Anolis sagrei: one gene and its partner. The protein of the gene in region 1 purifies or fractionates together with the protein of each later gene. This does not show direct contact. Links are inferred from orthologs where the notes say so. Each region holds a gene or a part of one and is shown on either strand. Other genes may lie near its edges. The genes, in order: SRPK1 and DROSHA.

The links.
Region 2: the proteins of SRPK1 (region 1) and DROSHA purify together in Homo sapiens (affinity purification with mass spectrometry; 3 studies listed by BioGRID and IntAct, counting the BioPlex papers as one, with this or other methods). This does not show direct contact. The link is inferred for Anolis sagrei from reciprocal best matches to the Homo sapiens genes SRPK1 and DROSHA.

Annotation. Positions count from the first base shown.
Region 1 is NC_090024.1:186,295,079-186,310,230, reverse strand, and holds the start of SRPK1 (SRSF protein kinase 1), read left to right. Parts: upstream 1-8,283; coding exon 8,284-8,611; intron 8,612-11,652; coding exon 11,653-11,713; intron 11,714-15,152. Other genes in the region: MAPK14 (mitogen-activated protein kinase 14), read right to left, coding at 831-946. UniProt on the Homo sapiens protein: Serine/arginine-rich protein-specific kinase which specifically phosphorylates its substrates at serine residues located in regions rich in arginine/serine dipeptides, known as RS domains and is involved in the phosphorylation of SR splicing factors and the regulation of splicing.
Region 2 is NC_090024.1:91,650,738-91,666,032, forward strand, and holds the start of DROSHA (ribonuclease 3), read left to right. Parts: upstream 1-8,282; 5' UTR 8,283-8,479; intron 8,480-15,295. Other genes in the region: C4H5orf22 (UPF0489 protein C5orf22 homolog), read right to left, coding at 2,026-2,175, 3,336-3,481, 8,047-8,139. UniProt on the Homo sapiens protein: Ribonuclease III double-stranded (ds) RNA-specific endoribonuclease that is involved in the initial step of microRNA (miRNA) biogenesis.

The DNA of each region.
Region 1 (15,152 bases):
TTGCCTGTGCTACTTGTAATTTTTACATTGTTATGTATGCGTATGTTTTATGTTAATATGATGTTATTGTTATTGTTTGCATTTTCGGTTTGTGTTTTGGTTTTTTTTTCTTTATTGTAATTGTTGTTTGGGCTTGGCCTCATGTAAGCCGCTCCGAGTCCCCATCGGGGAGATGGTGGCGAGGTATAAGTAAAGATAATTATTATTATTATTATTATTGTGAAATCTGACCTCACTACCTCTGAGGATGCTTGCCATAGATGCAGGCAAAACGTCAGGAGAGAATGCTTCTAGAACATGGCCATATAGCCCGAAAAACCTACAACAATCCAGTGATTATTATTATTTTAATGAAATAAATTACGCCAATGGCCAGAGGTCTGGAGGAGCCCAGCAGCAGCCACCAGTACTCGGGAGACTCTCCAAGCCCCCATAACCCTAAATATTATTATTATTATTATTAAACTTTATTTGTACCCCGCTAGCATATCCCGAAGGACTCGATGCGGCTTACAAAGGCCAAGGCCTCAACACACAATATAACAATACAAAACCTAAAGCAAATAATCCCAGCCATGAAAGACTTGGCCAATATATGATTTTTATATTGTATTATTACGAATATATTGTAATCCTAGGAGCCTTCAGCCATCTCTGCCAAAGAGATGCTAACTCATCGAATTAGAACTCCCAATACTCCACAGCACTGAGACAGGGCAACTGCAGGGGTGTCAAACTGCAGATGCGGCCAAGGCGGTCTGCCTTGAACGTGTGACCCTGAGGCTCTGTTAAGGAGCTCCCTCCCTTTTCGACGAAGGGTTGCCACTCACCAGACCGAGCCGTAGGCCCCGGAGCCCACCGGCGAGAGGTTCTGGTACCGCTCGGGGACCTCCCAGATGGTCTTGTTCAGCTCCTGCCGGTAGAACTTGGGCCGCTCGTGGGTCATCGCGACCCCGGGCCCGCCCCGCCCAGCGCGGCCTGGAGGGAGGGAGACCCTCGCACGGGACCCTTGGCTCCGCCCCCTTCAGAGGGGAGGGGGGAAAGGGGAGGGGTCTCTCCGTCACTCACTCACTCACACACACACACACTCTCTCTCTCTGTGCTGCGCGCGCGCCCAACCGCCGCCTCAGCTGGCCCGGACGCCTCGTGCCGCTGCAGGGGAAACACGGGGCGCCTCTTTCCTTGGGAACTGCTTTTAGGGACCCCCTCACCCCACCCCCTGCAAAAAGCCTTCCCCCCTCAGCGTAAGGAGGCTTGCGGTCGCCCTGGAAGAAGCCCGCTTCAGCCCCGCAACGACGAGGACTCGCCCGCGCCTGACTTCTCCCGACCTCCCCTTCTTCCTTAGATGCCAGAACCAATCGATCGCGGAGGTCTCGCGAGACTTCCGGGAGATGGATGGAAAAAAAAAAACTCCCAGCGAGATGCCCCAATATGGAACCTAGCTGGAGCGCTCTGGAATCCGCGGAGCAGCGGGAAGGTCTCGCGAGAGCCTGAAGGCAGCGAGAAGAAAAGGCGAAAGAAGGCGGAGCTTGAGAACAGGAAGGATGAGATTTTGTGACAGCTCCAGCTGGTCTGTCTCTCTCTCTCTCTCTCTCTACACCAGTGTTTCTCTACCTTTCTAGTCCAGGACCCCTTTAATACAGTTCCTCCTGTTGTGGTGACTCCCAATCACAAAATTATTTTGGTTGCTATTTATTTACTTACTAGCCGTCCCCTGCCACACGTTGCTGTGGCCCACATGGGGGTTGTGTGTGGGAGGTTTGGCCCAATTCTATCGTTGGTGGGGTTCAGAATGCTCTGTGATTGTAGGTGAACTATAAATCCCAGCAACTACAACTCCCAAATGTCAAGATTCTATTTCCCCCAAACTCCACCAGTGTTCACATCTGGGCATATTGAGTATTCATGTAGAGTTTGGTCCAGATCCATCATTGCTTGTGTCCACGGTGATCTCTGGATGTAGGTGAACTACAACTCCAAAAGTAGGAGCCCCCGGTGGCGCAGTGGGTTAAACCCCTATGCCGGCAGGACTGAAGACCGACAGGTCGCAGGTTCGAATCCAGGGAGAGGCGGTTGAGCTCCCTCTATCAGCTCCAGCTCCTCATGCAGGGACATGAGAGAAGCCTCCCACAAGGATGATAAAAACATCAAATCATCCAGGCGTCCCCTGGGCAACGTCCTTGCAGACAGCCAATTCTCTCACAAGAGAAGCAACTTGCTCCTGACACGACAAAAAAAAAAAACAACAACAACAAAAAAACAAAACTCCAAAACCAAAGGACACTGCCCACCAAACCCTTCCAATATTTTCTGTTGGTCATGGAGTTCTGTGTGCCAAGTTTGGTTCAATTCCATCGTTAATGTAGTTCAGAATGCTCTTTGATTATAGGTTAACTATAAATCCCAGCAACTACAACTCCCAAATGACAAAATAATATTTTTTTGAGTGATGGCCACTCCTTGTATAGTGAGACGTTTTGTTGCCAAATTTGGTGTGATTTCGTTCACTGGTTCTTTTGTTTTTAAGGTACTCATTATGCACAGAGCATTTATATATATATAGATTTCCAGTATTTCTACCCCATCCTTCTCAACCCCTGAAGGGGGACTCAGGATGACTTAAATTTGGCACAATGTGATGCCATTAAATATAACAAAGCAATATAACAACAATTAAAACATAAATAGAACATTAAATAAAACAATAAAAACAGTATTAACCACCGTATCACCATTCCAGTCAAATTCCATATCCAAAGTTGGATGGGGTTACACTCCCCCTGAAGGCACAGGTTCGGAGCTTGGGAGTGGTTCTGGATTCATTGCTGAGCCTGGAACCCCAGGTTTTGGCGGTGGCCACGTCAACTTTTGCATAGTCAAAGCTTGTGCGCCAGCTACACCCGTACCTTGGGAAGTCTGAACTGGCTATGGTCGTCCACGCTCTGGTCACATCCCGAATAGATTACTGCAACGCACTCTACATGGGGATGTCTTTGAAGACGGTTCGGAAACCACGACTTCAATTTCTTGCTAAAACACAGGAGGGATGAAGCCGATCTACCTCGTTGTGAAGCGAGTTCCACAGGCAGAGGGCTACAGCCGAGGAGGCCCTGTCTCTCATTCCTGCCAGACGTATTTGTAATGCTGGCGGGAGCGAGAGCAGGGTCTCCCCGGATGATCTTAAACTGCAAAGCAGGACATAGAGGGAGATGCGTTCAGACAAGTAAGTTGGGCCAAAACTGCATAGAGCTTAATAGGTCAAAACCAGCACTTTGAATTGAGTTTGGAAGTGTATCGGCAGCCAATGGAGCTGGCACAACAAGGGGGTGGTGTGCTCCCTGTATGTCGCTCCAGTTAGTAATCTGGCTGCAGCCCGGTGGACTAGTTGAAGTTTCCGAACAGGCTTCAAAGGCAGCCCCGTGTAGAATGTGTTGCAGTAATCAGTTCGGGATGTAACAAGAGCGTGGACAACTATTGCCAGATCAGACTTCCCAAAGTACGGGCGCAGCTGGCACACAAGCTTTAACTGTGCAAAAGCTCCCCTGGCCACCGCTGAAACCTGGGGTTCCAGGCTCAGCAATGAATCCAGGATCACTCCCAAGCTGCGAACCTGCGTCTTCAGGGGGAGTGTAACCCCATCCAACACAGGATGTAACCCTATGCCCTGTTCGGCCTTTTGACTGACCTCTGTCTTGTCAGGATTCAATTTCAATTTGTTAGCCCTCATCCAGTCCAACACAGTGGCCAAGCACTGGTTCAGTAGCTGAACAGCCTCCTTAGTAACGGGGTGGGAAGGAGTGACAGATTTGGACGTCATCTGCTACTTCATAACTGTAATGTTGCTACTGTTATGAATCGTCGTGTAAATATCTGATATGTAGGATGTATTTTCATTCACTGGACCAAATCTGGCACAAATACCCAATATGCCCAAATTTGAATACTGGTGGGGCTTGGAGGGGGGGGGGGGGGGGTTGATTTTTGCCATTTGGGAATAGTAATTGCTGGGATTTTAGTTCATCTACCAAAAAGCATTCTGAACTCCACCAACGATGGAATTGAACCAAACTTGAAACACAGAACTCGCATGACCAACAGAAAATACTGGAAGGGCTTGGTCGGCATTGACCTTGAGTTTAGGAGTTGTAGTTCAGCTACATCCAGAGAGCACTGTGGACTCAAACGTTGATAGATCTGGACCAAACTTGGTACAAATACTCAATATGCCCAAATGTGAATACTAGTGGAGTTTAGGTAAAATAGACCTTGACATTTTGGAGTTGTAGTTGCTGGGATTTATAGTTTACCTACAATCAAAGAGCATTCTGAACCCCCCCCCCCCCACATGGTCTTTCGCAGCCCCTCCAATACCCCCTCGTGATCCCCCCCAGGGGCCCCGATCCCCAGGTTGAGAAACGCTGCTCTACACTGTAGAACAGGGATGGACAAACTTTGACCTTCCTGGTGTTTAGGACTTCAACTCCCACAATTGCTTTTTTTTAATTAAATTTACATATATTAACACATTACAGTGTAAACAGAACACAAAACAATTACAAAACAATTACAAACACATAATCCCACAACCAAGGCCTGAACAAGTATAATTTCCTTTGCCACTAATTTATGAGTCAACCAGTAAACAGATGTCATATCCAAAATTCCTGACCAACAAGGTTGTAGGCTGTTAAGAATTGTGGGAGTTGAAGTCCAAAACACCTGGAGGGCCAAAGTTTGCCCATGCCTGCTATAGGAATGCGGTTTGACACCACTTTTACCTGCCCTGGCTCAATGGCACAGAATCCTGGAAGTTGTACTTTGGCAAGGCATACACACTCTTTGGCAGAGGAGGCTAAAGCTCTTGTCAAACTACAGCTCCCTGGACCCCACAGCAGTTGAAGTGGTGCCAAACTGCAATTCATTCTACAGTGTAGAAGGTGCACCCTGGGAAATCCAAGATTACATTTGTGGCTTTCCTGCCAATTCTTCAACTAGATGGTGCAACTTTCTCTCGCAGTCCTTGTGTTTATGCTAATCTCATGGGATATTATTTTTACACCTAAGAATTATGCATCTGGTATAGTCTGGCAATTTTTTTGTTGCTGTCACTCAACCAAGATGCTTTTATAAAAACAGCTTTTAAACATGAATTTTAATGTCCTTTGTTTAATCTGGGTTGTGTTTTTTTGCATTTTAATACACATTTTATAGAAATAAATTTTAATATGTATCTTTTTATAGATATACATTTTATTTTTTATTTTTTAAATATTTTTATTACTTTATCATAATTATTACATTTATTATACATTTGTTTATAGCAGTTACATATTATTCAACACCCTCTTTAACATATAATCTTTTTCTTCTGCTTAAGCATTTTCCCCCTTTTTTCCCCCCACCACTGTGCTCCCCTCCCCCCATTTCAAGCCACAACTTTTACATATCATCTGTCCAAAATCTCATTTCTTCTTGTGGCGGTAACCTTCCTTGTTTTTTAAACCATTTACAACAAATTTACCCCATACAACATCAAAATCACTTTGTTTCCATATACTTTTTTAACTTTTAATATACATGTCAGCTTATTATTTATTGCCAATTTCCATGCTTCCTTGTACCACTCCTCTATTTGTATATTTATTTCTTTTTTCCAGTTCCTTGCTATGAGCAGTCTTGCTATTGTTAATAAGTTTATCACTTCTTTATCCTCCTTGTTCAATTGTTTGTTGTTATATAGTGATAATAAGGCTATACTAGGACTTTTCTCAATTTTCATATTCATTATATCTTCTATTTCTCTAAATACTTTCTCCCAAAAATTATTTACATATTTACATTGCCACCACATATGTATGTATGTTCCTGGTTTTTGACACCCGCTCCAACAATTTTTTGAATTATTTTTATTTATATATGCTATTCTTACTGATGTTAGATACCACTTCCATATTAGCTTATAATAATTTTCTTTAACCCGTATTGATAAGTTTTTTAAATGTCTTTGTCCCCATAATTGTTGCCACTCTGTTTCGTTTATTTTTATCCCTAAATCTTCTTCCCAAACCTCTTTAAGGATGTTATTATTTGTATTTCCTTCCTTTATTTCAATTATTATCTTATATATTTTACTAGTTATTCCTCTCAAATTTTCATGCTCTTTTACAACCCTTCCCTTCTGTATTATTTGTTCAAATTGGTTAAGGGTTAGGGTTAGAGATACATTTTAATATGTGTATTTGTGGTATTTTTATAATGTTTATGTGTCTTAATTATTCTGTAACCTACCTCGAGGAGAGGGGGGTAAGAAATAAAATTATCATTATCATTATTTGCTGTTTTTCATCTTTTTATGAGATCCATGTTGCCAGTACATTGGACCTATCATCATCATCATCGTCATCTCTGTTGGAAATGCAACAATGTTTAGCACTGAAGAATGAAGAATGCCTCACTGTGGGCAGTAATAATAGGGTTAGATAGTTTGAGTGACTGGAGGAGTCCTCCCTCTTTTGCATAACTATTTGAACCCCTAACCGATACTCTTAGGCCCCTTCCACATAGCTGAATAAAATTCCACATTATCTGCTTTGAACTGGCAGTGTGGACTCAGATAACCCAGTTCAAAGCAGATGTTGTGGGTTACTCTGCCTTGATATTCTGTGTTGAAGCACCCTAAGTTTCTCCGCCTCTTCTTTCCATGAGTCCTCTCTCAACCTTCCAAGGTGTATCTAGGTTAAATTAGATTCACTGAGTAACCTTCCTGTCTTAGAATGGCGTTCTTACAATAAAGCTTACATTTCCTTTTTCCAAACAATTGGTGTGTTTGCTCCTTAAATCCAGATCACTAATCATTTAACCACAGAACGCACTCTAACAATTTATTCCCTAGTTTTCTCTCTTGATCAAGGCCCAAAGCAACGTCTGGGGTTTGCTTTTAGGAACCATGGATATCATACATTGGTATATATTTGTACCTGTGTCAATTCTTGAAAATTGCCAGAACAGGTGGCATCTAGTGTTTATTTCTATTTTCAAATGAAAACCATATATTCACTAAAATAATGCTTTATTTCAGTAGCATACATAAAGTTCAAATTCATGCACAATATATGAACAACTCAATAGCTGAAGTTCATATAACATCCTATAGATCAGTGGTTCTCAATCTGTGGGTCCCCAGATGTTTTGGCCTTCAACTCCCAGAAATCCTAAAAGCTGGTAAACTGGCTGGGATTTCGGGGAGTTGTAGGCCAAAACACCTGGGGACCCACAGGTTGAGAACCACTGCTCTATGCAGTGGTAAGCTGGTGGTCAACTAGTACTAGGAAATGTAGATCCAGCACTGAAAACAACAGAGCAAAACAACAGAAGGGAAACAATCAGGCACATCTAATCACCTCTCAACAAAAGTTTGCCCCAGGCACTGCCGGGCCATCAAATGCTAATCAAGGTGGTCAGTTGAAACATTCACACCTAGCTCCAACAGACAAGAGTTCTTTGCCCCACCCTGGTCATTCCACAGATATATAAACCCTTTTTCCTACTTCCAACAGACCTCACTACCTCTGAGGATGCTTGCCATAGATGCTGGTGAAACGTCAGGAGAAAATGCCTCTAGACCATGGCCATATATTCCAAAAAAACCTACAACAACCCTTTCTCTTCGTAATATTTTACTTTGATTCGCCTTTCAAGAACTCTGACTTTGCCTTTTGTTTCAAGTAAACTTATCTGGTTAACTTTATTCCTGTCTCAAGAGTCTTTATTTTTAAAGAACTGAAGTACATCAGAGGGTATACCGATAGCCACCGGGCATAGCCAGCTATATAGTTTTCCTTTCATCCCGGCGTGCCATCACGTGGTCTTTAGCCTTCTCTGCTGATGCCTCTCTAAACTACACATCCCAGGGCTCCATAGCCGTCCACAGAGGTAGCTAAAGTGGTGTCAAACTGTGCAAACGCTACAGTGTGGAGGTATGCAGGGCTAGTTCAGTTTGCTCCGAACCCCTGCGCCTCCTGCTGTCTCGGGGCGCTCACAACCGGGACTAATGCATGGAAGCCGGGCCCACTTCCTCGTAGGCGTCCAGCCCCAAATGGCTTCCAAACTCTCCCGCAGGCAGAACCGGCCAGGCGGCGAGGACGTCACAATCCCAGCGGCGGCGGCACCTGACGTGGCCCCAGTTTTGACCTTTCCCGGCCTCCCCGTCCCCACCAAACCCCGGCTTCTCCTCGAGCGGGGAGAGCCGTCGGGGCCGAGGCAGACCGCGCATGCGCTCCGCCCATGGGCCAAGGGGAGTCGGGGGAGGCGCCCGACGCGTGGATCCACCTCCTGGCATTCATGCAGAGCAGGGGGCGGTGCGCCAGCCGCTCGGAAGAGCCATGGAGGGGGCCCCTCCTCCTCCCCCCTAGCAGCCCCAGCTCGGAAGGAAGTGACAGCAACCGCGGCGAGGAGATCTGGTGGCGCGCGCAGCGGCGCGCGAAGATCCCAGCCGTGCGCACGCGCCGGCCCGCCCGCCCTCTCCTTGCGCAGGCGCAAGGGGCCTCTTTAGAGCGCACGCGCGAAGGGGGGACCGGGGGACCTCCATCACTGGCCGCCATGGAGCGGAAAGGTGAGTCTGGGCGAGCTTCTCCGGGTGGCGAGGCGCCCCTCTTCCTCCACCCCCCCCCCCCAATGCTGGGCCTTCGCCCTCTTTGGCTCTGCTTTTCGTGGCCCTCGGGCCAGTAGCCGCAGGAACGGGTTTTCCGTTTTCTCCTCCGTGCCTTTTCCTTCAGAGCTCTCCCTGGGAGTTAACAGTTTTAGGCCTGCCTTTCGGGCACCTGAGGCTTGGCGCAGATCCTCGAGAGGGTGGCATAACAGCATGCTTCCACGTAGGCTATTATTACTTATCCTTTTATCTGAAACGCAGGGGACCAGAAGGGTTTGGAATGTATTGTTTTGTTTTTATTTTATTTGTGGATTTTGAGATACTTGCATTTCTATATATACATAATAAGTTCGGCCAGATTTTGATTTCATTTATTTATTTGTTTGTTGGATTGGACTGGATGGGTTTTGGAATACCTATATTTGTGTATACATACAGAATGAACCGTCTCAGAGGTTAAGACAGTGTGGGGAGGCCCTGCTCTCAATCCCACCCCCTCGCAAGTGTGGCTGGTGGAGACGAGAGACAGGACCTTCTCAGTGGTGGCCCCTCATCTGTGGAACTCCCTGGTGATAGTATGATAGCTGGGTCCGGAAGCTCCGAGCGTTACGCACATTCCGCAACAGCGGTTGTGAATACGGGAAGGGGAGAGCGGCACACTGAGGGGGGGGGGAATATACTTCAATTTGGTGGAAGGATAGAAAGGAGGAATAAAGTTTAGGGTAAGGTTTAGGGTTTGGGGTAGGGTAAGGGTTAGGATTAGCCTTAGAGGTTAGGTTTAAGGTTTTGGTTAGGATTAGTATTAGGGTTTAGGTAAGGGTAAGGGTTTTACCATTAAAGAATTCCTATATTCCTTTTATAATATCTGTATTCCATTCTGTGTTGTGCAAACAGTATTCCCAAAGGAGCGAAGCGGAAAGAGCGTAAGGCTCAGAGCTTCCGGACTCAGCTTTCATACTATTACCAACTCCCTTCCCAGTGAAATCAGGCCTGTTCTTTAGGGGAAAAAACAACTTAAAAACATGGTTGTGGGACCAAGTATTCAAGCAGTAGATGCAGCAGCAAGAGTGAGAGTGATTTTATGTGGCTGACAATGGACTGACCTTGGATTATGATTTTGAATTTGGGCAATTTTTAAATTGATGTTTTAATAATTAATTTATTAACAATTTGAAATATTGGCTTTTACCTATAAAGTCCTAAGTTGTTCTGGCCCAGGTTACTGTCCGAATGTTTCTCCCTCCATAAACCATCTCGGAGGTTAAGATTGTCTGGGGAGGTAGTGCTTTTGATCCCACCCCCTTCGCAGGTGTGACTGGTGGGGGCGGGAGACAGGGCCTTCATGGTGATAGCCACTCGGCTGTGGAACTCCCTCCCCAGAGAAATTAGATCAGCCCCCTCCCTCCTGACCTTCAGGAAGAAAGTTAAATCCTGGTTATGGGACCAAGCATTTGCACAGTGATTCCTAGTGCAACAATAAAAGTTTCAGTGCAGTAATGACAATTGGAGTGGCTCCTGGTATATGTTTTTTAATGGTGTGATTTTAAGTAATTATTTAATTGATATGTTTTTAATGATGTGATTTTAAATTAGATGTTTTATTTCTGTATGTATTCAAGACATTGAATTGTGCCTTTGTTGTAAGCTGTCCTGGGTCCCCTTCCGGGTGAGAAGGGCGGGATATAAATGAGATAAATGAATAAAATTGGAGATGAGTCTCAGGTTTAAATGCGAAATTCAATGATGTTTTCATATATAGAGCCTGAAGGTAATTTTATGCAATATTTTTGTGCATAAAACAAAGTTGGTGTACACTGTGGTATTAATACAGACTGACACCACCTAACAGCCATGGCTGAATGCTATATAATTCTGTAGTTTTATAGGTTCTCTAGTCTTCTAGCCATTAGTACCATATGGCTGCTACGATACATCTTAAATCAGTGGTTCCCAACCTGTGGTCTGTGGACTACCAGTGGTCTGTAAGAACGAAAATATGTTCTGCAGCCTCATCATTATTACACTGTAGCCTCAAAACCATGTAGTAACTAGAGTGACTGGTCTCGCGAAACCCTCTTATAGTGACAAGGCAATGGGAATGTCGAGAAGGGAGAGGCTGACTACCCAAAAAAGATTACTACTACCACACTATTAAATATGAAAGATTACTACTACCACCTCGTTATTAAATATGGTTTTCTGTGCGTGAGAAGATGGCAAATGTTCTATATCAGAAACTAGAGTTGATTTGGTCTATCCAGTGCAGTTTTCTGAATCAGAAGCTCAAATAACCAAATGAATCGAAAGTTGACCAAAAACCGATTCGTAGCCCTTTTGGTACTAATGTTGGAGAGTGGTCCCTGGTCAAAAAGAAGTTGAGAACCACTGTCTTAAATGAACACTTGGGTTAGCTATTTTTAATGTAATATATTTTAACTGCGTTTTGGGGTATATATTTTAATGTTTACTCATGTTTTAGTCTATTGTCTTTTCATTCCAATGTTTAATTTTTCTATTATAAGTTTACTGTTGTTACTGTGCACTATTCTGTATTGTTTTTGATGTGTTTGCACTTACCTAGGCATTGAATGATTGCCTTTTTTGTGTTTAAACCATCCCGAGTCCTATTATCTTCTGTGCCACAGAATGCTGATGCTCACCAAACTACAAATCCCAGGATTCCATAGCATTGAACCATGGCAGTGAACGTGATGTCAAACTGTTTAACCCTATAATGTAGATGCATTCAAAGGTGTCACTATCTCAGCCACCCATATGGATGCATTTTGGAATTCTGGATGAGAGATGCCCAACTTCTATTTAGTGGGATTTAAAGATTTTGGTAAAAAGTGTGCATGTCTCCAGTTGGGTTTGCCTGACTTCATGCTGCTTCATTGGGAAGAAAGGGCCGCTCTTAAAGCAGAGTAACTCTGATGAGTATAATTATTATTTCTCTTTCCACAGTGGAGATTACTTGACTCTTTTATTCTTTCATGTCTTCCCAGTTCTAGCTTTGCAAGCCCGGAAGAAGAGGACCAAAGCTAAGAAAGAAAAGGCCCAAAGAAAGTAAGTGTAACCACTTTCTCCACCTGTTTTTCAAACCAGGACAAGATGGTACAGTTTGAAGTAATGGGAGGTCTTTTTTAAATGTACTGCCATGGTTCAGTTTTGTGGATCCAAGGATTTATAGTTTGGGGAGGCAACAATATTCTTTGGCTAAAAGTACAACTCCCATGAATCTATAGCATTGAGCCATGGGAGTAAAAGTGGGGTCAAACTGTATGATTTACCTTCCGTCATAATAAGAGAGTTGTGGAACTTATATCTTAAACCTTTGTAAATACTAGTTTGTGCATCAGGATCTGAACATCTACCTTTGTTGGAAAATAAAGCAAATAAATAAATAATAGGCACGGTTTCTCTGTAACAGAATACAATTGAAAAGACCACAAGCACTCCCTGAAGAAGAAATTACTTTAAATATTTCAGGAGATACCTATCCTTTCTGTTTTTAACCCTATTATTGGAACTAACACACAGATTTGACAATAAAATACTCCACATTTTTTATTTGTAAAATTTTTATTTTTTGAATGTTAACTTTTATTTACCAAAATCACCTGAATGCCCTATCCATGTCCCAAATAATGTTACTAATTCACCATTGACCTAATTGTTGGTTGCTAAAATGTAGCATTTCCAGTGATTGACAGTTCCTTATTTGCAGTAATTTCTAAACACAAGTATGTTCCTGTTAGTGCAATATAGCACAGGGTTTGCTTCATGAAACTTGCAGTCCTCTTTAATAGCTCCACTGAAAGCAGTAGGCATTAGATTCCTCCCATTTTCCCAACAATCCTTCTTTCCAGCTCTCCAGAGCAGATAGTGAGGATTTTTGGAGGCTACATAGGAATGGGAAGGTATTGTCCCTTGCTGGATCCCCTCTTATTCCACCAGCAGATCTACACAGTTGAATTCAGACTCTTCTAAAGTGAAAGACAAAAGAGAATCCACCCATCTCTGACAAAGACAGAAAGAAAAACATGTCTTGCCCTTGATTTGAATACAAAGTATTTTACTACTCTGGTATTTGCTTTTGGGATTGGTCTGGGTTAACTGAATTGATAATCTAGTCCTGTTCATCCTTTCTAATAGTGCGATGGACCAAGTACACGATAGGGTAACTTCTCCCACTGGCTGGAATGTGGCTCAAATTCAATTATTCTTTTTTTGTGATGGCTAGTGTTGATAAATCTTCAGATTGATGGTTACTTACAATTAACTACTAGGGTAGATAAGTAGAATTTGTATTTACTTGTTATGTCTGTTTAAAGAACCTAGTTCTTTGCTTGCCTCTTGAAGGAAAATTGAAGGGGCAGATGAAGAGTTCAAATGTTACAGATGGTTCTTGCCTAGTTCTGGGTTGTAAGGGAAGTAATCCACATTACGGATTTCTCCTCTGACTCCTACAAAAGTTGACATTTGTTGAATGCAATCTGCATCATTTTTCCTGCAAAATTTGTTAACATTAAGATCCCTAAAATCCAAAATGTTTGATTCTGCCTTGGTTTGAACTTTTACAGACAGGACAATAGAGTGTTGTGATCAAAAAAAAGATGTTGAGTAAGATAGCAGCATTTGGAAATTGAACTTGAAGCTTCCAAAGCTCTTCAATATAATAGAAACTAGCTTTTGTGCTCAAGATTTTCACACACCCTTGATTAAGGGAATTACATGGTTCTTAGGTCACATACATTTTGAATATCACTGTTGCAGTCCTTTCATTATGGGGCCTTGAAAATAAAGATTGCACCTCTGGAAGCCTTCATCTCTCTAAAACAAGAGTTGTGCTAGCATCTTGCTTCCGCCCCCTTACCAATTTTTGTGACTGGCTGGCCATGCTTACAGATGTGAAGGCCTGGGGAAAAATGGAAAATTTGCAGTTGCTTTCTTTAAAAACCATGTTTCCTTGGAAAATTTGGAAATAGATTATGAGAACCTTTCTTTTAGAATGGTGTATGAACTATTAAAGCATGGTATTTTTTTTTATCCCAGACCAGGTTGTAGATAATGTATAGTAACAAAGTGACTTTCCTTTTTTAAATATCTTTTTTAGTATTTCCACTTCCTCCCCCCTCTTCAGAATTTGCACAAATTTGCACAAACATTAGGACTTTCGTGATTCCAATAGTAAGTTAGATGCAGAATGGAAAATGTCCCCCAGACTTTTCAAATTGTCCATACCTGCCCTAAAGGAATTTATTGACTGCAAATTCACTTACAGTAATTATACACTGCAAAAATATTTTCAAATTGATATAGTAGGTTGAGTTGAGTGACTTTTATAACATGCTTAGACAAAGTAAGATAGGCACAACTTTCTGGGAATTATACTTTTGAATCATGTTCTTAGGAGAGTAAAAATGTTCCTATTCTTGTCTAAATGTCAAGACAATAGTGATGGGTAACACCAAGCAGTTTTAGAATCTTAAGATAGCTAGAGTTGTCCTTTTACACAGAATAACAAAACAACCATAGAAATCTGAATTGTGCTGTAACATGATTTTAGAAGTCTTACAACATACTGTTCCCTGCATTATGAAATCCTATAAGGTATGACGAAGCCCCATTTCTTCTTAGTGTTGGCATATGTATAGTATGCTATTCTGGTAAACTGGAGTCTTAACTTTACATCCTCATACCTCATCCATTAACTGCCCAGGTTGATCTTTGGTATCAGAGTTGCTGCTTGTGTTGGGAAAGACGATAATTGTCTAGAGTTGATTGAAATGATCCTTTGTTCATAGCAAGCACAAACTTTGAGAAAACCGCTTCCTTTTATGGATTTTTAGCAATGACCATTGTTAGTACATATATAGAGCTGTCAGTGATTTATTGAAAACCTTCTCAAGTGCAGTGATGAGGAGATACATAGAAAGATCTAAACAAGTAGTGCAGGCTTGAACATAAACATGCAAACCATATATAGAATATTTATAATTTGCTTGCCCCTACATACTTCAGTATTGGTCATCTGTTTTCTGAAAAGAGACAACTTTTGTCAGTCACCTATGCCTCAGAATATTTCTCATAACCAATCAAAAGGTTATTGGTAAGTTGCAAAAAACATATGTTGCATTAGACAAGATCTTTGTTAGAAAAGATTATCTGCAAAGAGAAGGACTCCAACTCGTTCGTAACATTAACAATACAGGCAGAATGTGTTTATTTATGGAACTACAACCTATGATTCCTGCAAAATACTTGCACTGCCTTTTAGCCTGGTATTCTCTAGCAGTTAATGCTCATGCATAATTTGTATTGTTATATATATATACCTTCAGATAGCCTAATGAGACACAAACAGACAATGATTTTTGAAAATATGTGTGTTCGGTTGTTAGCCTGAATTCATGCTGTTTCCTGTTAGTTAGTTGCCCATCCTCCATATACTTAGATTTATTTGTATTTGGTATAGTTTTACAGGTGGTGAACAAAATAATGT
Region 2 (15,295 bases), about 95 Mb from region 1:
TGAATTTGCTGTGCCTGAATGCCCTTGGTCACTTGGCTCTGTTTCTTAGTTCAAACCACTACTTTGATGAATGAAATTTGAGTATTTATGAGTGTAGTAGAACTCTTACTTGGGAGGCAATGGCCACATTTTGATCTCCTCTTAGTAGCCATATCCCCAGATAAGACTTGTTAGAACAGACAATCTTGTTTTGTTTTCTATCTGAAGCAATGAAGAGTTTCTGCTTCAAAAGGGGCTGTTTCTGTTGCTTCATAAAGAACCTTATTAATTTCACTGTGAAAATTACTCCACGTGTTCCTTTGTTATTTATATGTGTAATGTGGCATTGAATCTTGGCATACCTGTAAGCCAGTTTGAGTCCGTTTCGGGGTGAGAAAAGCGGGGTAGAAATATAGTAAATAAAATAATAAATTTATTATAATTCCATTATATATTGCTATTTGATTGACTTGTTATCATTAGGCAAATATAGATCTATGGAATGACTGGATTATATGAATCGGAAAATGATTTTAGTAAGGAGATGCTAAGGATTTATGTTTTTATTGGTTTTGTATGGTTTTTATATTATTTGCTAAATGTTTTAAAATTGTATTTGGGAGTGATCCTGGACTCATCGTTGAGCCTAGAGCCCCAGGTTTCAGCGGTGGTCAGGGGAGCTTTTGCACAATTAAAACTTGTGCGCCAGCTGCGCCCGTACCTTGGGAAGTCTGACTTGGCCACGGTGGTCCACGCTTTCGTTACATCCCATTTAGATTACTGCAACACTCTCTACGTGGGGTTGCCTATGAAGACTGCCCGGAAGCTCCATCTAGTCCAAGGTGCAGCAGCCAGAATGCTAACACGAGCAGGGTACAGGGAGCATACTACTCCTCTGTTGCGCCAGCTCCACTGGCTGCCAATTAGCTTCTGAGCACAATTCAAAGTGCTGGTGTTAACCTATAAAGCCCTAAACGACTCCGGCCCTGTTTACCTGTCCGAACGTATTCTTCCCTATGAACCATCTAGGTTGTTAAGATCGTGCTCTCGGTCCCACCGGCCTCTCAGGCGCATCTGGTGGGGACGAGGGACAGGGCCTTCTCAGTGGTGGCCCCTCGACTCTGGAACTCTCTCCCACTGGAGATCAGAACTGTCCCCTCCATTCTGTCATTCAGAAAACGGGTGAAAACCTGGCTATGGGGTTTGGCTTTCGACGAGTGAATCAATATTTCTGTGATTGGATAGATGACGATGAATGATGGACAATGAATTCACTATGACGACTGACCATAGTTATTATGTGGTTGCATTTTGCTGTTATAACATTTTAATTGAATATATTATATGATGCTTTTAATTATTACTATGTGATTTTATTGTTGGAAACTGGCCCGAATCCACCGATAGAGGGGAGAAGACTGGTATACAAAATTGCTAAATAAATAATAATAAATAAATATTTTATGTTGTTGGCGGCATCAAATTGTGCTGACTGTAAATCGTCTTGAGTCACCTTTGGGCTGAGAAAGGCGGTACATAAATACGGCAAAATAAATAAATAAATAAATAAATAAGCTAAGTTGTAATTATTCACCCTGGGATCATAATGAAAAAAGGCAGAAGAAGCATCTTTTTAAAAACCCACTTGCTTTATTTGCTCGATGGAGGGAAAATGGAATAGAACTATAACACTTACTTAGGAGTAAGCTCTGTTAGGATGACTTATTACTGAGTGAGCACACATAGAACTGTACAAGTGAAATGAGCAAAATACAGTAATGTGTGGCCTGAGGTGGGAAAACGAGCTAGCAGTTCTACTAAAATTAGTTAGAAAACATTTATGAGAAAATGGAAGCAGACAAGAATAGCGAAACACACATCAGATCTAACTCTTTGCACTCTGCTAGGCGTATGCTGTACCCTGAGTGCCTTGTAAGCTGTCCCGAGTCCATTAAAGGAGATGGTGGCGGGATATAAATAATGATGATGATGATGATGATGATGATAATAATAATAATAATAATAATAAGGCAAACACATATTTACCTGATTGTTGTGGTGGAAGTGTCTTTACCCACTAAAAAATGATGGGTCCCTTCTTCAATTTGTTGAGCCCACACTGGATGTAACCATATCACTTGTGAAAAATGGCCAGCATAAACAGCAGGCATGATCCAGTTCTCAATACTTAGCTCACTGTAAAAGAACACAAGGTTGCATGCACTGAAAGGAATGCTGCTGTCAAAAGACATGGGCTGGCATATCACATCGTCACAATACATTTGCACATCTCAAAAGCAAAGGCCAGTATACAATATGAGTATACAATAAATGTGGGAAATACGAGTATACAATAAATGTGGGACAAGTACATGAGCAAACAGTAGGAAAAAAATTGAAACTTTTGTGATCAGCAATCTAAGGGTGAATCTACACTGTAGAATTAATGGTTTGGCTTTACTTTAACTGCCATGGGTTTTCTATTCTTTTCTATGGCACACAGCAAACAGAGGAATTGATCAGCAACTGAATGTACTAGCGAGGTTTGGGGAGAATTAACCATAATTTATAGGAATTGAAGGTACTGAGATGTATAGTTCACCTGCAATCTAAGAGCACTCTGAACTCCACCAACAATGAACCTGGAACTAACTTGGCACATAGAGTCCCCATGACCAAACAAAAAATACTGGAGGTCTTTGGAGGGAATCTATAGAAGTTGTAGTTCACCTACATCCAAAGCACACTATGAACCCAAACAATGATGGATTTGGACCAAACTTAGTACACAGAACCCCTATGACTAACTCAACCTACTGGAGGGATTTGAGGGGAATGATTCACCATAGTGGGAGTTGTAGTTTACCCTACAGCCAAAGAGTACACTGAACCCCACCAATGATGCATCCAGAGCAAAACTGCCCAACATAACTTTAAGTACTGATAGAGTGTTTTTGGGTTAACCTGGCATGATTTAAGTTGTAGTTCACCCACAACCTTATGTATTTTGTGTAATTTAAAATTTGACCTTTTCAAATAATCCGGACAATGCTAGGTACCCAAGCTAGTAGAATTTAAAAATAAGGCAAATGCAAACACATATGAATATAATATAATATAATATAATATAATATAATATTATATATATATATATATATATATATATATATATATATATATATATATAATTTAATATTTGTATCATGAGCGTAAAACTTAAAATATTACATTATAATTCTGTGATGTTGGGTTGGTCCAGAAATGAAGCAAGACATCAAAGGCAAAGGAAACCACACTCTTTACTTCCTGTATGCATAAAAATCTAGTGTATGAACAATCAGATCACAGGATCCTACCTAAACAGAGCTTCTTTGTCAAACACTGTGTCTGCAGGCATATTCACTGGGATGAGAAGATCTGGGTGAGAATCCAAATGGACAAAGCTGATGTTGCAGGCAGGAAGGTGCTTCGAACCAATGCCTCGGTAAATGAAAGGAAGAACCTAAAATAACAATGATACACAAGCATTTAAATCGAGGCAAAGACAGATTATAGAGAGCTGGGCCAAAAATCAACCAAACATTCCAACAGGAAGAATTGTATAGTACTATGCTTATGCAGAAAAAAACACCTGGCTTTACAACAGTACATGTAAAAAAGATATTGGAGTCTTAGTAGACCACAAGCTGAATATGAGGCAATAGTGTGAAGAAGCAGCAGCTTAAAAAGCCAATGCAATTCTAGGCTGCATCAATAGGAGCATAGTGTCGAAATTTGGGGGAAGCCATGTTGCCTCTGATCATACCTCGCCTAAAATACTGTGTGCAGTTTTGGGCATCAAAAAGGATATTGACAAGCTAGAATGTGTCCAGAGAAGTGTGATCAAAATAGCAAAAGGTCTGGAAGCCGAGCACCATTTGGAGTGACTTATACAGAGTTGGATATATTTAGCCTGGAGAAGGAAAGGTTAAGGGATGACATAACAACCAAGTCTAAATATTTGAAAAGGTGTCATGTTGAAGTTAGAGCCAGCTTATATTTCAGTGTCCCAGATATGAAGCAATGCATTCAAACTGAAAGAGATTCCACCTAAATATTAGGAAGAGCTGTTAGTGGAATATATTGCTTCAGAGTGTGGTAGACTCTCCTCTTCTGGAGGTTTTTGAACAAGACGCTGGGTGGCCATCTGTTGGGACTGCTTTGATTGGGTGTGTCTACATAGATGTTGGAATGGATGGCTCTTGGTGTCTCTTCCAACTCTATGATTCTATGATAAACTGTTATTGAGAAAGAGGGAGTCAATTGAGAAGAGCAACCGGCCACCAGCTCAACATGACAGTGAGATAGTGAATTCACTTCAGGCATTAAACTAACCTTTAAGGCAACTATCCAATGTGCTGAACCTTGCATAAAATATATTAAGTCACTTGGAGAGCCCCATTAAAACTAGCTGAAACCTCAAGTGGGTTTGCCACCTTGCAGACATGTGAGCTACCCACCACCACAAGAGGTAACTCAGCGTGCATTTTTACAGCCCAGTCTGTGTATATGTGTTTTGTGTGTGTGTATATGTGTATATGTATGTGTTTGCATATATGTGTGTGTGTGTGTGCATATATATATGGTTTTGCGCATGCGTTGTAATGTTGTTGTTTTTTGGCATTTTAAGTCTCTTCTGCTGTGTTTTTCAGTGTTTTTAATTAGTGATGGTCACTCATTGGCCTGATAGGTGTATTGTGTCCAAATTTGGTGTCAATTCGTCCAGTGGTTTTTGAGTTATGTTAATCCCACAAATGAACATTACATTTTTATTTATATAGATCAACCCAGTTTGACACCATTTTAACTGCCATGTATCATTTCAAATGGTCTTTGGTTGGAGTCCTGGTGCCTCACAATCTACAGGATTCCATAGCATTGTGCCATGGCAGTTAAAATGGTGTCAAACTGGAATAACTACGCAGTGTAAATGCACCCTAGGAATTCTTAGGGCCCTTTCGCACAACCATATAACCCAGAATATCAAAGCAGAAAATCCCACAATGTCTGCTTTGAACTGGGTTATCTGAGTCCACAGTGCCACATATTCCAGTTCAAATAAAAAAATGTGGGATTTTATCCAGGTATGTGGAAGGGGCCTTACTATAACCTTACTGCAGCCTATTCCTACACATTGTTACACATAAAGAGCAACTCCCAATAAAAAAGTTGCTGAATGCCACCAATGTCCACAAATTTGTTAGCAACAACGTGAAGTATTTACACTGGATTTTGTAGGAGATGGATTCAAAGGGCCCTGCCCTAAAGTTCCAATGAATGGTTGAAAATGTCAAAACTTTTTTTTTAATTCCCAAAAAACAGTAGATGTATGAATATTTCTGAAAGTTGTGGGGAACCATCACCTATTATCTTGTGTCATTGTACAGAAAATTCAAGCAGATTGCTCTTGTGGTTTTTTTAAGTTGTTTATAAAAACTTTGAAAATTCCCCAAAAATCCATAGATGAGTGAAACCTTCTGAAATTTGGTGAGCTAACAGTGCCAAATATGTTCTGCCACGGCAGCACGTTTCATTCCATTAGCTTTAAAAATGAGGGAGATAGGAGCCCATGAACTTTCTCCAATTTGAGTAATTACATGCAATTACAGTAACGGAAAAGAAATGAAATTCCGTTACTCACGTTATAGTAACGATTTTTCCCCAGTAAGAATACTTTGGAAACACTTTAGAAACGAAATGCCAGTTTTGTAATGACTTTTGAGCCATTTTTTTTAATGGATCGCACATCCCTAATTAAATAATAGTTGACACCACTGTTATGGCTCAACACTATGGAATCCTGGGATTTGCTACTTCATCACACTAGAGAAAGAATAATAACAACACTTTATTTATATTCCGCCCTTCTCACTCCGAAGGGGACTCATGGCGGATCACAGCACACATACATGGCAAATATTCAATACACAAACAGACAGAACAGAAAGGAGGTGTTATCGACTCAGTGTCCAGCTGTTTTTGGTGCCAAGAAAAGTGAGTCCAACCACAGGGGGTGCTGTTGCTCCATTTGCTATGACAAAGAGCTGTCAGAACTTCCTCCTTCCTCTTTGGTTGCCCAGCATTTTCTAATATTCTTTCCTTATGGCACCGTAAAACACCTCCCCCACTTTTAGCAGTACCTAATTTCTCTAATTACACCGAAAGCTGTTTCTGAACTGCTTAGGTAAACAGTGAGCTAGGCTGACAGTCGACCGCTCACACCGACCTGAGGCTTTGAACTTGCAACCTTTGGGTTAACAGATCTTATAGTTGCTGGTGATTTACCAGCTGTGCTAAGCCGCCTGGGTGATAGTATGATAGCTGGATCCGGAAGCTCCGAGCATTACGGAGATGCCACAAAGGTGAGTGTGAATAAGGGAAGGGGGGGGCAGGAGTGAGAATGGGGAGAGAGAAGTAAGGATAGAAAGGAGGGGATGCTTTGGGTAAGGTTTAGGACAAGGTTTAGGGTTTGGGTTAGGGTTATAGTAAGGTTAGAGGTTTCAGTTAGGGTATGGTTTAGGGTTAGGGTAAGGTTTTGGGTTTGCGTAAGGATTAGAGTAAGGGCTTAGACTTATGCTGCTGTTAGGGTTTCACCATTAAAGAACTTGGTGATAGTATGATAGCTGGGTCTGGAAGCTCCCAGCATTACGGAGATGCCACAAAGACGGGTGGGGAAAAGGGAAGAGAGGGGGTGGAGTGAGAGCAGGGAGAGCGAAGGAAGGATAGAAAGGAGGGGACGCTTAGGGTAAGGGTTAGAGCAGGGTTTGGGGTTTGGGTTAGCGTAAGGGTTAGGATAAGGGTTAGGATAAGGCTTAGGGTTATGGTAAGGGTTTGGATAAGGGGTTAGGCTAAGGCTTACGGTATGGTTCAGGGTTAGGGTTTGGGTAAGGTTTAGCGTAAGAGGTTAGGCTTAGGGTTTGGGTAAGAGGTTAGGCTTAGTCTTACGGTATGGTTCAGGGTTTGGGTAAGGGTTAGGGCAAGGGGTTAGGGTTAGGTTAAGAGTTTAGGCTTAGGCTTATGATATGGTTCAGGGTTAGGGTAAGGGGTTTGGGTTAGGGTAATGGTTTAGGCTTATGGTATGGTTCAGAGTTAGGGTTTGGGCTTAGACTTCCGGTACGGTTCAGAGTTAGAGTTTCACCATTAAAGAACTCTTACATTCCTTCTATATTATCTGCCTCCGGCCTGGCTTACATTAGCTAAGTCTTTCTTGCGCAAACAGCGCTCCTGAAGGAGCGATGCGGCATCTTGCACGGAGCTTCCAGACCCAGCTATCTTACTATTACCACCTCTGGTGGCACAGTGGGTTAAACCCCTGTGCCGGCTGGACTGAAGACCTACAGGTTGTAGATTCGAATCAGGGGAGAGTGTGGATGAGCTCCCTCTATCAGCTCCAGCTTCTCATGTGGCGACATGAGAGAAGCCTCTGACAAGGATGGTAAAACATCAAAAACATCCGGGCGTCCCTTGAGCAACGTCCTTGCAGACAGCCAATTCTCCCACACTAGAGATTTTCAAGCAAAATTCTCAAGCTGCATCATTTTATATTAATTAAATCATAAACACCATAATTAAACAAAGAATAGAACTTTGGACACATGTATAAAATCATGCAGTTTCTCAAGTCACTCCTGATACGACAAAATAAACAAACAAACAAACAAATAAATAATAAGCAACCACCTCCTGCCCAATGAATCCCCTCTAAATCCGGTTTCTGCCTCCTGCAGAATTCTGGGGTTTGTAGTTTAGTGATGCTGTTAAAGAGTCCTCCCTAAACTACAAATCCCAGAATTCTTCAGGAGTCAGGAGGAGGTAGCAACCAGATTTAAAGTGGAATCATTCTCTAGTGTGATGAGATCCTAACAGTGAGGTATCATAGCATTCTTTTGGGAAACAGTAGCTTGTCAAGTGACAACCATCTCCATGGCAGCTGAAGCGGTGTGGATGCCCCCTGAGTCACTGCTGAAGTCAGAAGTGGGGTCAAAGGGCCCTCATTCCGCTTGCAGTAAGCAGTCGCGCAGTGCTTACGTCGTGATGGTCCTCCACCACCCAGACCGGCAGCGCTGTGTAGAGCCTCCGCGAGCTCCCCGCCCCGCCTTCTTCCTCCTCCTCGCCGCTCATCTCGAACGCTCGAAGACCCAAAACCGAACGCTGCGGCCGGTAACGTTCCAAGGCCCGGGCGCCGGCAGCCTTCCGGGGGGAAGCCTCTCGAGGTGACACAGGCGGCAGGCATGGTGGGAAAGCGAGGAGGAGGAGGAGCAGGAGGCGGAGCCATGGACCTCAAGCCGCCGGAGGGAAGAGGGAAGAGGCCAACAAAGGGCGCCGATGCCGCTTCCCTCCCTTTGCAAGAGGCACAAACACAGGGCTGCCCAAGGCGTCTTCCCCTCTGATGTCTTCCTCCGGCCCTTTCCTCTTCCGGGGCTCTCCCGCCCTTTCCCCCCTCCGCCAGCCCGGATTCTAGGTAAGCTTCTTCCTCCAGATCTCTGCTGTAGACTGCACGCAGCTTGGCTCCATGCTGTCCTGGGGTTTGCCGTCCACACTCTTGCCAAACCCAATTCTGCATGGCTGCATTCATTCTACAAAGGCAGAGCTCCTTTGCTGTGGATGCCTTCCTCCCCGGGCCCTTCCACACTGCTGTGGAGCCCAGATTATCAAGGCAGACAATCCCACAATATCTGCTTTGAACTGAGTCCACACTGCCATATAGAGCTGCGTGGAAAGGGCCTATGATTATAAAATCCGAGATGATGTCCCCTTCCCTTCCTCCAGCACTCTTTGGCAGGAAAGACTCTAAAGAACTTGCAAAACTACAACTCCCAGGATCCCTCCTTATTCCCATAACATTGAGGCCCCTTCTGCACTGCTATATTATCCAGATTACCAAATTGGATAATCCACATTATCCTCTTTGAACTGGATTATATGACTTCACATTTTTATTCATCTTGTCAGGAGCAGACCGAACAGTTGCGGTGCCTTTTTTAACAAACAAACAAACTAACAAATAGACAGACAAAACACAAAGTTTGCAAGCTTGGTAGTTGATTAAATGTCCTTTGACCAGTATCTGGCCACTTGGAGTGCCTCTGGCGTTGCCGCAAGGAGGTCCTCCATTGTGCATGTGGCTGGGCTCAGGTTGCATTGCAGCAGGTGGTCAGTGGTTTGCTCTTCTCCACACTCGCATGTCGTGGATTCCACTTTGTAGCCCCATTTCTTAAGATTGGCTCTGCATCTCGTGGTGCCAGAGCGCAGTCTGTTCAGCGCCTTCCAAGTCGCCCAGTTTTCTGTGTGCCCAGGTGGGAGTCTCTCATTTGGTATCAGCCATTGATTGAGGTTCTGGGTTTGAGCCTGCCACTTTTGGACTCTCGCTTGCTGAGGTGTTCCACCGAGTGTCTCTGTAGATCTTAGAAAACTATTTCTTGATTTAAGTCGTTGACTTGCTGGCTGATACCCAAACAAGGGATGAGCTGGAGATTTATTATTTATTTATTTACTTTGCTTATATACCGCTGTATCTCAAGCCCGAAGGCGACTCACGGCGGTTCACAAACAGTAAAAACAGTAGAAACAGCAGTGGTTCCATACAGCATATAACAATTGACTTAACACATTATCCATAAATTACCAATAAGCAATTACAATGCACAATTATTACAAAAAACAACCGTACCCAATCTTCTCATCATCCAAGCGTAGTCCAGGTTCGTCGTCCATTGTTCCATTCCTATGTTCCATTACCAGATTGCACTAAATTACTCAAACGCCTGCACAAACATCCAGGTCTTCACCTTTTTGCCTCTGCCTTGGTCCTTTCACTATTGGCTGCTACTTCCTGGCGGATGTCAGGTGGTGCAATACCAGCTAAACAGTGTAATTTCTCCAGTGGTGTAGGGCGCAGACACTCTGTGATAATGCTGGTAGGCTGTTAGGAATGGTGGGAGTTGAAGTTGAAAACACCTGAAGAGCCAAAGTTTGCCCATGCCTGCTATAGAGCTTTTACAAAACCCTTGGCCTTCTCTGGCAAAGAGTGTTGATGTTCCAGTAAACAACAACTCCCACAACACAGCCATAATAAATTCTTGTTCTCTTGGCTTTTAGGTCTGTTCCTGGAGTTATAGGGTTCAGAAAATTGGATTGGGTAGACTGCATAAGCTCCGGTTTCTTAGATATGATTTTCTGTGGGTGAACAGATGGCGACTGGTGGGTGATGATAAGAGAAAACTGGTGCCATTTTTTGGAACTAGAAGATCAAATATACGCAGAAACAGGGCTAACATTCAAGGCACCAAAATGTTGGCCAGCGAAGCATTGAGATGTGTCAGTTAAAAGTGGTGCCAGAGTGCATTAATTCTACTGTGTAGATCAGTGGTTCCCAACCATTTTTTTTGACCAAGGACCACATTGACCAGGGACCACTTTCCAATATTAGTACCAAAAGGGTTAGGAATTGGTTGTTGGTCAACTTTACATTTGGTTTAGTTATTTGGGGTGCTGAAAATTGCATTGGATAGAGCACAGCAGCTCTAGCTTCTGATACAGAAAGTTTGCCATCCAGTAGTCGCCATCTGCTCAACCACAGAAAACCATATTTCATAAGCTGGTGTGGTAGTACTAATCTTTCATGGGTAGTCAGCCTCTCCCCTCCTGACAGCCTTGTTGCCTTGGCATGATAAGAGGGTTTTGAGAGACCAGTCGCTCTCGTTTGCCGCATGTTTTCGAAGCAATGGTGTAGTCATGGTGATGCCACAGACCATATTTTCGTTCTTGGGGACCACTGGTGGTCCACGGACCACAGGTTGGGAACCGCTGATATAGTGGGCCCAAGTATCCTAAATGTGCCAGATCCTGTCTGATCTTGGAAGCTTAACAGCCCTGGTTAGCACTTTGAACAGAGATTTCCAATGAATACCAAGTTCTGTAGGCTATATTTCAGAGAAAGGATCACTTAAAACCTGTGAGTATTGCCTGAGGAAACTCCATGAAATTCATATAGTTGCCATTGTTAGGGACTTACACACTTAAGAGAAGCTGATAACTAAAATATTGTTATTATTTTACTGACACAAAAACATAGTATATTACAGCAAACGAGATCTATATGCTGGATTTCATATCACAAAATCACAAGTTGAACACTTCCCAAGCATCTAGGACTGTGTGGTGTATTTTCAAATGATTTGTGGAGATCCAAGCAAGGTGGCCTTTTGGAGTTGACAGATCATGATTTTGCCAATGTTTATTGTTTCCAAATGCTGGCTGAGATCTTTTGGCATGGCACGCAGTGCACCAATGACCACTGGGACCACCTGTACTGGTTTATGCCAGAGCCTTTGCAGTTCGATTTTGAGATCCTGATAACGGCTGAGTTTTTCCTGTTGTTTTTCCTCAATGTGACTGTCACCTGGTATGGCGACATCAATAATCCAATTTTTTTCTTTTCCACAATCGTGATGTCTGGTGTATTGTGTTCGAAAACTTTGTCAGTCTGGATTTGAAACTCCCACAGTATTTCTGTATGTTCATTTTCTACAACCTTTGCTGGTAGGTTGTACTTGTGACGTAAATTCCAGTGAATTATTTGGGCGACAGAGTTGTGCCTTTGTTTGTAGTCCGTCTGTGTGATTTTCTTGCAACAGCTGAGGCTATGTTGTTGCAATTATTGTTATTATTATTGCTAATACCAATCAGTTCATGTTTATGTTTATGTTTTTTGCTGTTGTGGTTCCTTAGCAATTGAACAGATTGGAAGAAAAAAAAGTTGGTACACTCTCTAGTCAAAATAAGAAGTGATATGATCTGATTTAACCCCATTTTCAGGATTATTTCTTTCTTTCTTTCCGAGCTAAACCCATTTTCAGGATGTCTTTCTTTCTTTCTTTCTTGGAAGGTGAACGTCCAACGAGTTAGGACCATCCCTCTAGACAAGAACTGTTGTTTTATTTGCTCTGAGATTTTATTTTTCACTTTTAGCGAGACTTGTGTTTCCTGTTTGAATGTATCTCCAAGAAAAAGGCCTGATCTTGCACGAAGAACCCTTCCTTTCAACATGAAAGATTTTTTTATATCTTGTAGTGCATTGGGGTTCTCACTGGGATCAGAAACATTGCAAGGGTTCTTATTTTAGCTGGACACAGTCAGTGTCATGATCCCCAAATGGAAGTACTGTCACAAGAAAAGAATCAAAGTCACAAAGGAATCCAGAAGCACCTTTGAGACTATCAAAACCGCCTGAAGAAGCCATTTCAAGTATAGCTTTTGTGGATACAGTCCGTTTTTGTCAGATACATTTGATGAAGTAGGCAGTGTTCACAGTAAGAGATATTAGAAATGTCTTCTTTTCCATTAGTCTCAAATACGCTATTGGATTCTTTTGTATCTTTTAATCCTAAAGCAGATTAACGTAGCTATCTTTTTGAAGAGAAAAGAATGGCTACCCTAAGGCCATCTAAGTGAGTTGGTGGCTCCACGGAGATTGTCGAGCGGAAAAAAAATCCATAAGGCTCATGAATGTAGTGGTGGTGGGGAGATGTACAGTATTGAATACTCTTAGTAATGCAATGCTTGTATTATAGCGGAACAACTTTGTTCGCTCACATTGGGCATTTTATAAAAGTTTTTCAACACTCATTTCTGAGGCCTGCCTTCCTTTTTATGTTCTCTGAGTGCCTTTTTTCCAGCACCACTTTAAGACATCCCTCTTTTTAAAAAATCAATTTATTTGATTCCAATCACTTCCCTGTGCATGTGATTTGAAGTGGAGCTTTTTCTGACTCTTGTTCTTAGAAACTAAGTACCTGAATCAAGTTTTTAAAATCTGGAAGGTGATTACCAAAGGAGATATAAAGCGTCTCCCTCTAAGAAGTATTTGCCTTAGAACAGTAAAGCTCTTAACATTAACCAGGACATGACAAAGGAATATATACAATACTCAGCGTATCTGTGGTTGTATGTCTATGCCAATGGTTCCCAACCTGAGGTCCGTGAACCACAAGTGATTCTCAAGAACTAAAATTGGTGTGCGGCATCACCATTACTACACTGTTGCAATGAGGACGACTGGCCTTACAAAACCCTCTTATAGTGCCGAGGCTTATTAAATATAGTTTTCTGTGGGTGAGCAGATGACGACTACTGAATGGCGTATGTTCTGTATCAGAAACTAGAGCTGATGTGGTCTATCCAATGCAGTTTTCAACATCCCAAATAATCAAACTGAATCTAAAGTTGACCATAAACTGATTCATAACCCTTTTGACACTAATGTTGGAGAGAGGTCCCTGGTCAAAAAAAAAAGGTTGGGAACCACTGTTCTATACAGTTGGCCCTCCATATTTGTGAATTTCATTATTAGTGAATTTGAATAATACATTTTCAATAGGAATTCTAGGCCCTACAGCATGTGTCGATGGACCTAGAGCAGTGTTTCTCAACCTTCCTAATGCCGCAACCCCTTAATACAGTTCATCATGTTGTGGTGAACCCCAACCATAACATTATTCTCATTGCTACTTCATAACTGTAATTTTGCTACTGTTATGAATTGCATTGTAAATATCTGATATGCAGGATGTATTTTCATTCATGGGACTGAATTTGTCATAAATACCCGATATGCCCAAATTCGAATACTGGTGGAGTTGCGGGGGGGGGGGGGGGGGATAATTTTGTCATTTGGGAGTTAGTTGCTGGGATTTATAGTTAACCTACAATCAGGGAGCATTCTGAACTCCACCGATAATGGAATTGAACCAAACTTGACACAGAGAACTCCTATGACCAACAGAAAATACTGGAAGGGTTTGGTGGGCATTGACCTTGAGTTTTGGAATTGTAGTTCACCTACATCCAGATATCACTGTGGACTCTAACAATGCTATATCTGGACCAATACTCAATATGCCCAAATGTGAAAACTGGTGGAGTTGGGGGAAAATAGATCTTGACATTTGGGAGTTACAGTTGATCGGATTTATAGTTCACCTATAATTAAAGAGCATTCTGAATTGTACCAATGATAGAATTGGGCCAAACTTCCCACACAGAACCCACATATCTTGAAGGGACTCATTGGTGTGAGCCTCCCTCTAGCCTTGCATGCTTTCCCTTGCCTGCATCACGCTGCTGTGCCACGTCTGCTCTCCCCTCCACACTTGGAGTCTCAGGAACAGCCCTACCCTTGGCTGAGAGGCCGGCTGAGAGGCCGTCCAATCACAGCAGAGGAGGGCTTTTGGTGGGCGGATTCACTGTCTGTTTCCAAAAAGGAAGAGAAGGACAAGCAGAGAGATCTTCAGCCTTTTCTGCCAAAGGGGTTCCTAAGGCCAGAGGCAACTCCTCTGAACCCCCCCCCCCTGTGGTCCTGACCCCAAAGTTGAGAAACACTGGTCTATACAGCTGGCCCTCTACATTTGTGGATTTCATTAATAGTGGATTTGAATTTTCTCAATTTCTCTAGAAATATCTAGGCCCTTCAGCATGTGTCCATGGACCTAAAGTTTCCTGGAGGGTACACTTCTCTAGGTACTTCAGCAATGATTTTATGGTCAGCCTTTGACAAACGGAGAGATTTTTAAAGAGATTTTCCCCCCAGAGGGAAAAAAAAATAACTGGTGCTTTTTTATTCATGGTATTCCAACTCTGTCACTCCTTCCCACCTGCTACTAAGGAGGCTGTCGAGGTCCTGAACCGGTGCCTGGCCGCTGTAACGGTCTGGATGAGGGCGAACAAACTGAAACTAAATCCAGACAAGACAGAGGTACTCCTGGTCAGTCGCAAGGCCGAACGGGATATAGGGTTACAGCCTGTGCTGGACGGGGTCGCACTCCCCTTGAAGGCGCAGGTTCGCAGCTTGGGTGTGACCCTGGACTCATCGTTGAGCCTGGATCCCCAGGTTTCAGCGGTGACCAGGGGAGCATTTGCACAGCTTAGGCTCGTGCGCCAGCTGCGCCCGTATCTCGGGAAGTCTGACTTGGCCACGGTGGTACACGCTCTTGTCACATCCCGCCTGGATTACTGCAACGCTCTCTACGTGGGGCTGCCCTTGAAGACGGCCCGGAAGCTTCAGCTGGTCCAGCGTGCGGCAGCCATGTTACTAACTGGAGCGGGTAGCAGGGAGCACACAACGCCCTTGTTGTCCCAGCTTCACTGGCTGCCGATTTGCTACCGGACCCAATTCAAGGTGCTGGTCTTGGCCTACAAAGCCCTAAACGGTTCCGGCCCAAAATACCTTTCTGACCGCATCTTGGCCTACGAGCCCACGAGGACCTTGAGATCGTCTGGG